Linked DNA regions of Caenorhabditis elegans. The protein of the gene in region 2 purifies or fractionates together with the protein of the main gene of each other region. This does not show direct contact. Each region holds a gene or a part of one and is shown on either strand. Other genes may lie near its edges.

Evidence for each region.
Region 1: the proteins of mtx-1 (region 2) and immt-1 fractionate together in Caenorhabditis elegans (co-fractionation; one large-scale study listed by BioGRID). This does not show direct contact.

The regions. Positions count from the first base shown.
Region 1 is NC_003284.9:2,685,295-2,689,218, forward strand, and holds the start of immt-1 (MICOS complex subunit MIC60-1), read right to left. Parts: upstream 1,891-3,924; 5' UTR 1,864-1,890; coding exon 1,846-1,863; exon of another isoform or gene 1,782-1,845; coding exon 1,693-1,781; intron 1,647-1,692; coding exon 1,479-1,646; intron 1,427-1,478; coding exon 1,218-1,426; intron 1,173-1,217; coding exon 925-1,172; intron 457-924; coding exon 337-456; intron 287-336; coding exon 173-286; intron 1-172. Other genes in the region: T14G11.1 (Membrane-associated protein), read left to right, coding at 3,699-3,794, 3,843-3,924.
Region 2 is NC_003279.8:14,754,588-14,758,511, forward strand, and holds mtx-1 (Metaxin-1 homolog), read right to left. Parts: upstream 1,826-3,924; 5' UTR 1,790-1,825; coding exon 1,721-1,789; intron 1,673-1,720; coding exon 1,418-1,672; intron 1,369-1,417; coding exon 754-1,368; 3' UTR 567-753; downstream 1-566. Other genes in the region: dnj-12 (DNaJ domain (prokaryotic heat shock protein)), read left to right, coding at 2,492-2,641, 2,689-3,144, 3,193-3,634, 3,685-3,845.

The DNA.
Region 1 (3,924 bases), on a different chromosome or scaffold from region 2:
ACTTTACCGAGAGTACATATCAACTATAAATATAATTTTTGCTTTTGACTACAAAAATTTCATAAATGCACCTTAGCAAAATCATAGGCTCATTTGAGCCTATTACAGAAATTCATTATTTTATAAAAAACCGAGGATGGACTCCATTCCTTCTATTTTTTTCGTCACTCACTTTAGCGTGAATATCAACATTTGGCAAGATGCTCTTCATCTCAAGAGCAAACTGTTGACGAGACTTCTCAATCAAATCCTTGTACTGATTGAGGACTGCAGATTCTTGACGAGACTGAAAACAATTTTGACAATTTTTGGTAAAAGTGCCAATGCATGTAATACCTTGTTGACCAATGCGTTGATCTCATCAAGCTGATGAGAAAGCTTATTAGCAGTCTCTTGAGCATTCAGAAGTAGCGGATTTGTGGCGGTAGTTGAATCTCGCTTTCCATCGTTCACAATCTGTAAATGTCCGAATTGAGAAAAATAAATAGTTATTATTAAAAATTTGCATTTAATCAAATATTAAACAAGCGTCTCTATTTTCAGTTGCATTTAATTCCTTTTCGTAAATGAGCTTGGAAGAGGTCCTTTTTACAAATTTTGAAAAAAAAACAGGGTCGAAGTATTGCAACAAGACAAAAATCATAGGACCTGTCACATAATAACTTGTGTAGCAGTTCAAAAACAGGCACTAGATAGCCGAACTTCCGCAGACCGGACGACAGATTTAGTCCGGTTTAGTCAAGTCCTAGTTTCCAATGGTCTAACGACTCTGGGTATTTTATTATGAAGGTGTAAGACCAAAATGTGCTCATTAAAAGAATTTCGCAATGAAGTTTCTCAAAAAATTTAAAAATTTTGTGTCATTGCGGTTCAAAATTTCAAACATAAATTTTTTTTTGGGTGTTAGGCTGTACCAAAAGATACCTTGCGAAGGTTATCAATGTAGTTTCTCCCGTCCACCTCTTGGCCACTGTCGACGCGTGCCTCAGCTTCGGCTCTTTGAAGAGCAGAAGTGACGTTTTCCCAGTTGGCGTGCTTAGCATCATCGACGGTTTGCTTGAGAATACTGGCATGCTCATTGATCGCATTGATGGTCTTCAGCTTGGCCTCAGTGGCTAAACGCACTTTTCCTTCAGCAGAGTGAATTGCGATTTTAAGCTTCTCCTCAAGTTCTGTAACTTTAAACTGTTATGAAAATTACGCTTAAAAAATCTTACGTTGGTTCTTGGCAAAGACGACATCTGGAGAAGGTTTTGGGATCATTGGGGTCACATCTTTGCGAACATCCACTGGGTCAACATGTGTGGGCTCTCTTGGAAGGACAGGCGGCAGTGGCGCGAGCTCCAATGGAGGAAGAACTTCCTTCTTTTTTGGGACAGCGTTCACTACAGCATCCTTGAGGTCACCGATCTGTTGTTTTGTCTTCCTGAAAAAGGATTATCGTTAAGACTGTCACTTTTTTAGTAAATAAAGCTTACTGCAAGCTAGATTCTCCCAAAACTGCGTCGAAAACTTGTTTCACTGGCGGAACAGTGGATTCGACTTTGTGACGGAACTCAGGGTCGACATACGCGTATCCGACAACACCACCAGCTCCAACAACGGTTGCTCCGACAAGAGCCAATCCTTTGCCACCTCCGGATTTTCTGAAATACGACGCGTTTTTATTATCGATTTTGGTGTATGTTTTACTTTGGTGGTTGAACTGGTGGCTTCGGTGGAGCAGCGGCTTGATTTGATTGTTGACGGGCTCTTTTCAACGTCTGGCTGACTGATCGCTTCTGAAATGAAAAAATTATACATTTAAACTAAAAATTGCATTTTTTTAATGAAAAAAAAACTCACCGATGCAATACGAAACATTTCCGCGACGAGCAGCGAATAATTTACCTAAAAAGTAATAAATTTTACAACGAAATTTTATATAAATCAAGAAAAAATCAAAATAATCAAGAGAGTGCAATCGAAAAAGAAATAAACATATTGTTTAGTGTTCGAAGATTAAGTTGCGCGTCATGCACGAGAAACGCGCCAGCAATCGATGTCTGTGTATCTTTTGTAAGTGCGTACGGGACGACGGGAAGAATGGCTGTGTGGGGAGGCATTGGAAGAGTGTGGCAGGGAAACAAAGGGAAATTGCCGATGCATTAAACGTTTGGGACATTTTGAACGCATAAACCCAAAATGAGCTCAAATAAACGAATTTTATAATGAAACTTCATTAAAAATTTTCAAAAAGTAGTTTTTGCCGGTTGAAAATTTCGAAAAAAAAACGTATTTCAAGTGAAATCTCCAATTTCGGCCATTTTTCCGTATCGCACACCTGGTCCATAAAAATTTTCCAACACTTTTAAAAGTGATTATTTAATCAAAACGCGGAATTTGGTTGTATTTTTAAGCTTAAAAAAACTTTAGTCCTAAGCCTAATATCGACAAAAAGGGTAACGTTAATTTTTCAGAATTGTAAACACTACAGAAGTACCGTAATTTTGTTAATTAAAATACATTTAAAACCGATAGGAAAAAATTATAGTATTAAAATAGCAGCTTTGGATTACTACGACTTGGAAAAGTGGCCAAATTTAAAGATATTTGAAGTGCCATAAACGTCCTAAAATTTTATGCAACATGAATTTTTACTGTTCTGTGTAACTTTTCAATTTAGAAATCAACATTTGTACGCAAAAAAGTGCAGCAAAAGTGCAGCATATAGTACCAGATATTTCCTTAAACTTCAGAAAAATGTTTGCTTTATTTGAAAACATCTTTAATATAATTCATAAAAATAAAAATAAAAAACTGCTTAGAAATTGTCTCTAATTTAATAAGAGCCGGAAAAATATCCCACAAATTATGGAAAATAATTTCCGGCAATTTTCAACTTGCATACTATTTTTGAGCATTTTTACAGTTGTTTCATATTAAATAAAACATTACTTTTAGATTAAAAAAAAAGTGTTTTTCTATATTTTATTTTTAACATTTAATAAAATATATCACTTTTTGCTCATTTTGGCTCATTTTGTAGATTTGCCGAAATTGCCGCGCACCCCTGATATGTACACTTTACCGGAAATTTTTAAAAATTGATAATGCACTAAAAAAATAGTAGAAACCATTAGAAACCAGTGTACAATTGATAAATGGTGTTTGTATCTGGGCATTTCATGTTGAAAAAAAATCGCCAAGGTCATTTGTTTGGTTAGGCCAGTGTACTTGAAATTGGTAGTGTTAGAACTTATATTTTATTTTTAAAATAATTGATTTTCAATTTCTTTTTTCATTTTTCTTCCAATTAACTCTTTCCATTCAAATAGAATTTTGAAATATACAAATTCTCAGTCACCATACACAACTTATTAAAGCGCAAGAATTTTAACATGCCCAGCAATGCTTAAGAGACGCAGAGTATATTCACCGTAGTTTGAAGCGAGGGTCTCGAAGCGATGTGGCAGTGAGAGTGGGGCTGCCTTTTCCTCGGGTTTGCACCCTCTCATCCGCCGCTATTGATTCTCTTTCTTTTCTCAATTTCCCTCGGGCTCGATGGGCTCGCTGCTTCTTTTCATTTTCGTGTTTTTTTTTCGTCAGCAGGCACATTGAATAAATATTCCGAGGCAGGGTCACAGAAAATTCTATGTCAACTTTTCTTTACTTTCTTATTTAACTCTTACTTTGTCCCATTTAGACGTTTCCAGAAAATGTTTTTCTCCAAGCTTGGATCATTATGCACTAGGATGGATTTTCGTGATGCCAATATTCCAGCCGCCTCTTTCCACACCGTTGCAGCTATTCTGGTAAGCTTTTGCACATGACTTCAATAATAGTATTCTCCAATATTTCAGGCAATTTTCGCAATGATGTCTACAGACTGGATTCTCATTGAAGATATGAGCACAAAAAACGGCACAACCGACATCGACGCTT
Region 2 (3,924 bases):
GGAAAACGATTTATTCAGGCAAATCGGCAAATTGCCGGAATTTCAAATTTCCGGCAAATCGGCAAATTTTTCCGGAATTTATAATTTCCGGCAAATAAACTAATTGCCGGAATTGAAAATTTCCGGCAAATCAGCAAATTTGCAAAATTTAAAATTTCAGGCAAATCAGCTAATTGCTGGAATTTAAAATTTCCGGCAAATCGGCAAATTTTTCCGGAATGGAAAATGTCCGGCAAATCGGCGAATTGCCGGAGTTGAAAATTTCGGGCATACTTGCAATTTGCCGGAATTTCAAATTTCCGGCAAACCGATAAATTGCCGAAATTGACAAGTTCCGGCAAACCGACAATTTGCCGGAATTGAAAATTTCCTATCATTTTGTTCAAATATATAGTAATTAAAATTAACTTTTTTTAAAATTAACAATAGTTCTAGCTTGTTGAGGATCTTTCTTCCTTAAATGTATAGAAATTGATAATTGCTTTTTTGAGTTCGAAATTCATATCTGATTCAATTTTTCCTCGCTTCCGTCCAAATCCAACTAAAAAGCGCAAAAAGCTAAATTTCGGAAATAAAGCATTCATTATATTTACGATCCAATAAATCTACCAGAAAATGTTCTATGAACCAATAAAATGCAATCAGATGAACGTAGAGGGACTAGAAAATTTCTGATTTTGTCGTCTCGTGGGTGGCAGTAGGTAGGGGGCAAGCAAAAAAAGAAGAACAATTTAAAAAGAAATACAACAATTTTCACTCAGAGATCTCCTCTTCGACTGACACTTGAATCAGACCGGTATGAATTGCGAACACTAATGACAACGTGAGAGCTCCGAGAGTGAAGAGAATCGCATCCCGCATTGGAGGCTCTTCTGGAAGTGATTCCGACGCTTCTTCTGTTGTTTTCGCGGCTTCTTTGTCTGCTTTTGCTTTCGAGATCCGAGATTGCCACATTTTCCGATTCGCTTGTTGTCTTTTGAGCTCATCTTCGCCAAGTGGCAGGTAGATTGATGACACAGTTTCCACGAATCTCACTAAATTCGGACATGCTGAGAGCTGGACTTGAAGACGATCATTTGGCAGTGGAACTCGGAGCAGTGGAGCAAGGTAGCCGAATACCAGGGCATCCAGTGACGTCGGCTTATTTCCACAGAAAAATTTATTATCGCCAAGCTTTGTGGATAGAGTATTCAACGCCATGAATGCTTCTTTCAAAATTTCAGTGTCATTCTTTCCAGCCAACAATCGCAATGCCTTCTTTCGTCGCTTTTCGAGGTAATACAGATTGTAGGGGAAATGCAGATGAGATGCGTACCAATATTGCGTCACTGTATTGTAATTGAGCTCGTCCGTCCAAAATGTGTGCATCTGGAAGGGAAAATTGATTTATTTCAGCTTAATTTTTCTTTAATCTTACCACTGCTGGATACAAATTGTGATGTAAATAACAGGAAAATGCGTCCAACTGTGCTTTCTCAATAGTGGTCAAGTCTGCATCGATAACCACGTCTTGGCCGCACTTTTTCAGAATATCCACAAATTTTTCGAAATCTGTCACTGGTTTTGCTTCTCCTTCGGTTTGAGCGACCATTGGGAGCTCACCGCTCGGCGATCTCCAAGGACGGGTCGATTGGATGACTCTTACTGGGCTGGCACACATTTTAGAGCACGCCTGGAACAGAAATGACGATAATTAACCAAAGTTGACACAAAATCTTACCAAAAACTGCAGAGACACAACGTCAATAGTTGGGAGACCGAAGTCTGACGGCCAAATGTGTAATTCCATTGATATTACAAACAAATTTTGAGCTTGAAATTCCAAATTCGGAAAAAAATCAAGATGGACTAGGAAAAAAATGGAGCCGCTCAGGTGAAACCTCGGTCACGGCCATGCCACTTTTTTGCGGGAATTTTAAATTGGAGTTTTTTTAATGTGTGAATCACGGAAGCTGCGGAAAATTTCGAACAAAGCCTCAATTTTTGCTAATTTCTCGAGTTTTTGAAGAATACGTTTGAAAAAACATCAAAACTGCAGTTCATTCATGAATGAAAAAAAAACAGATTTTTAAAAAGATTTTAAAATTACAGTATCTCCCCAATTGCTATCCTGTATAATAGTTGTTTTGAATGAAAATCTATGTAAGATTTTTTTTAGTTTTCCACAAATAATCGTGCATTTTTAAAATATTTCTCACGAATCAGTTTCCACGAGACAAAAATGTCCCCGCTTGGTGAGTTGCAAGTGCGCTCCACCGATAAAAGTGTCGAGAATGTTCACGAAAAATCGTTAGAACAGTTTTCGCGTTTTCTCCTCTTTTTCGCCCTTTATCTCTTGACTTTCCCCATTTTTGACTTCAAAATCGATTTTATCGTGTTGGATTTACGCAAAACAATTCGCTTTTTGGTATAATTTTCATTCTGACACTCGAAATTCGTCGATAAATGAAGAAAAATTATTATTTTCTTTTTCAGATTCGTATTTATCAAAATGGTGAAGGAAACAGGATATTATGACGTTCTCGGAGTAAAGCCGGATGCTTCAGACAATGAGTTGAAGAAGGCCTACCGTAAAATGGCGCTCAAATTCCATCCAGACAAGAATCCAGACGGAGCTGAGCAATTCAAGCAGATCTCCCAGGTTTGTTACGAAATCCAGCTGCAAAGTTGAAATTACTCATATTGCAGGCATACGAAGTATTATCAGATGAGAAGAAACGTCAGATTTATGATCAGGGTGGAGAAGAAGCACTTCAAGGCGGTGGTGGTGGCGGAGAGGGATTCCACAATCCGTTCGACGTATTCGACATGTTCTTCGGAGGCGGTGGTCGTGGTGGTCGTGGAGAACGTCGAGTAAAACCAACGGTTCACAATTTACGGGTCACACTCGACACACTGTACAAGGGTGTTACGAAAAAGCTGAAAATCTCAAGAACTGCCACTTGTAAAGGATGCAAGGGACTTGGAGGCAACGAGGGATCCGCTAAGGAGTGCTCTGATTGTCGTGGACGTGGAATCAAGGTTCGTGTTATCAGAATGGGACCAATGGTTCAACAAATGCAATCTCACTGCGACAGTTGTAATGGAGAAGGCTCAACATTCCTTGAAAAAGATCGCTGCAAAAAGTGTAACGGAAAGAAGCAGGTTTGACTTTTCTCCAATCGAATTCGAAACTATAATTAGTGATTTCAGGTGAAAGAAGACGAAATTATTGAAGTTGGAATCACGCCTGGCATGAAAGATGGCGAGAAGTTTGTGTTCGAAGGAAAAGGAGACGAAGTGATCGGTATTGAGAAGCCTGGAGACTTTGTAGTTGTGCTCGACGAGGTTGAACACGAGAAATTCGTCCGAAAAGGCGATAATCTGATTATTCAACACAATATCGATCTTTCCGAGGCTCTGTGCGGATTTGTGCGAACAATCAGTACACTTGATGGTCGAACAATTTTCTATCGTGTTCTTCCTGGAGAGGTTATTGCTCATGCCGATGTTAAAGTGATCCACAACGAGGGAATGCCAATGCGTCGAGCATCATCTGATAAAGGAGATCTTCTCGTACAGTTCGATGTGAAATTCCCCGATAAAATTAATCCAGATGCCGCGAAGAAGCTAGCCGATTTACTGCCTGGAAAGAGTTCGTTTTATTGCGTTTACAGTGTGAAATACTAATCATTTTTCTTTCAGGAGAAGAAATCATTGATGAAGACGCGGAAGTCGTTGAGCTGACCGAGTTAGATCCACAAGCATCTCGCAGGAATTTCGCTGAGCGCGACGACTTTGAAGGACACGGTGGATTCGGTGGACATGGACACGGGCCACAAGGCGTTCAATGCCAACAGTCTTGAATTTCACACCAATTTACACTTTTTCTGGTCACTTTCCTTCACTATTTTAGGATTTCAAACTTGGCTCCATTTCTTTCCT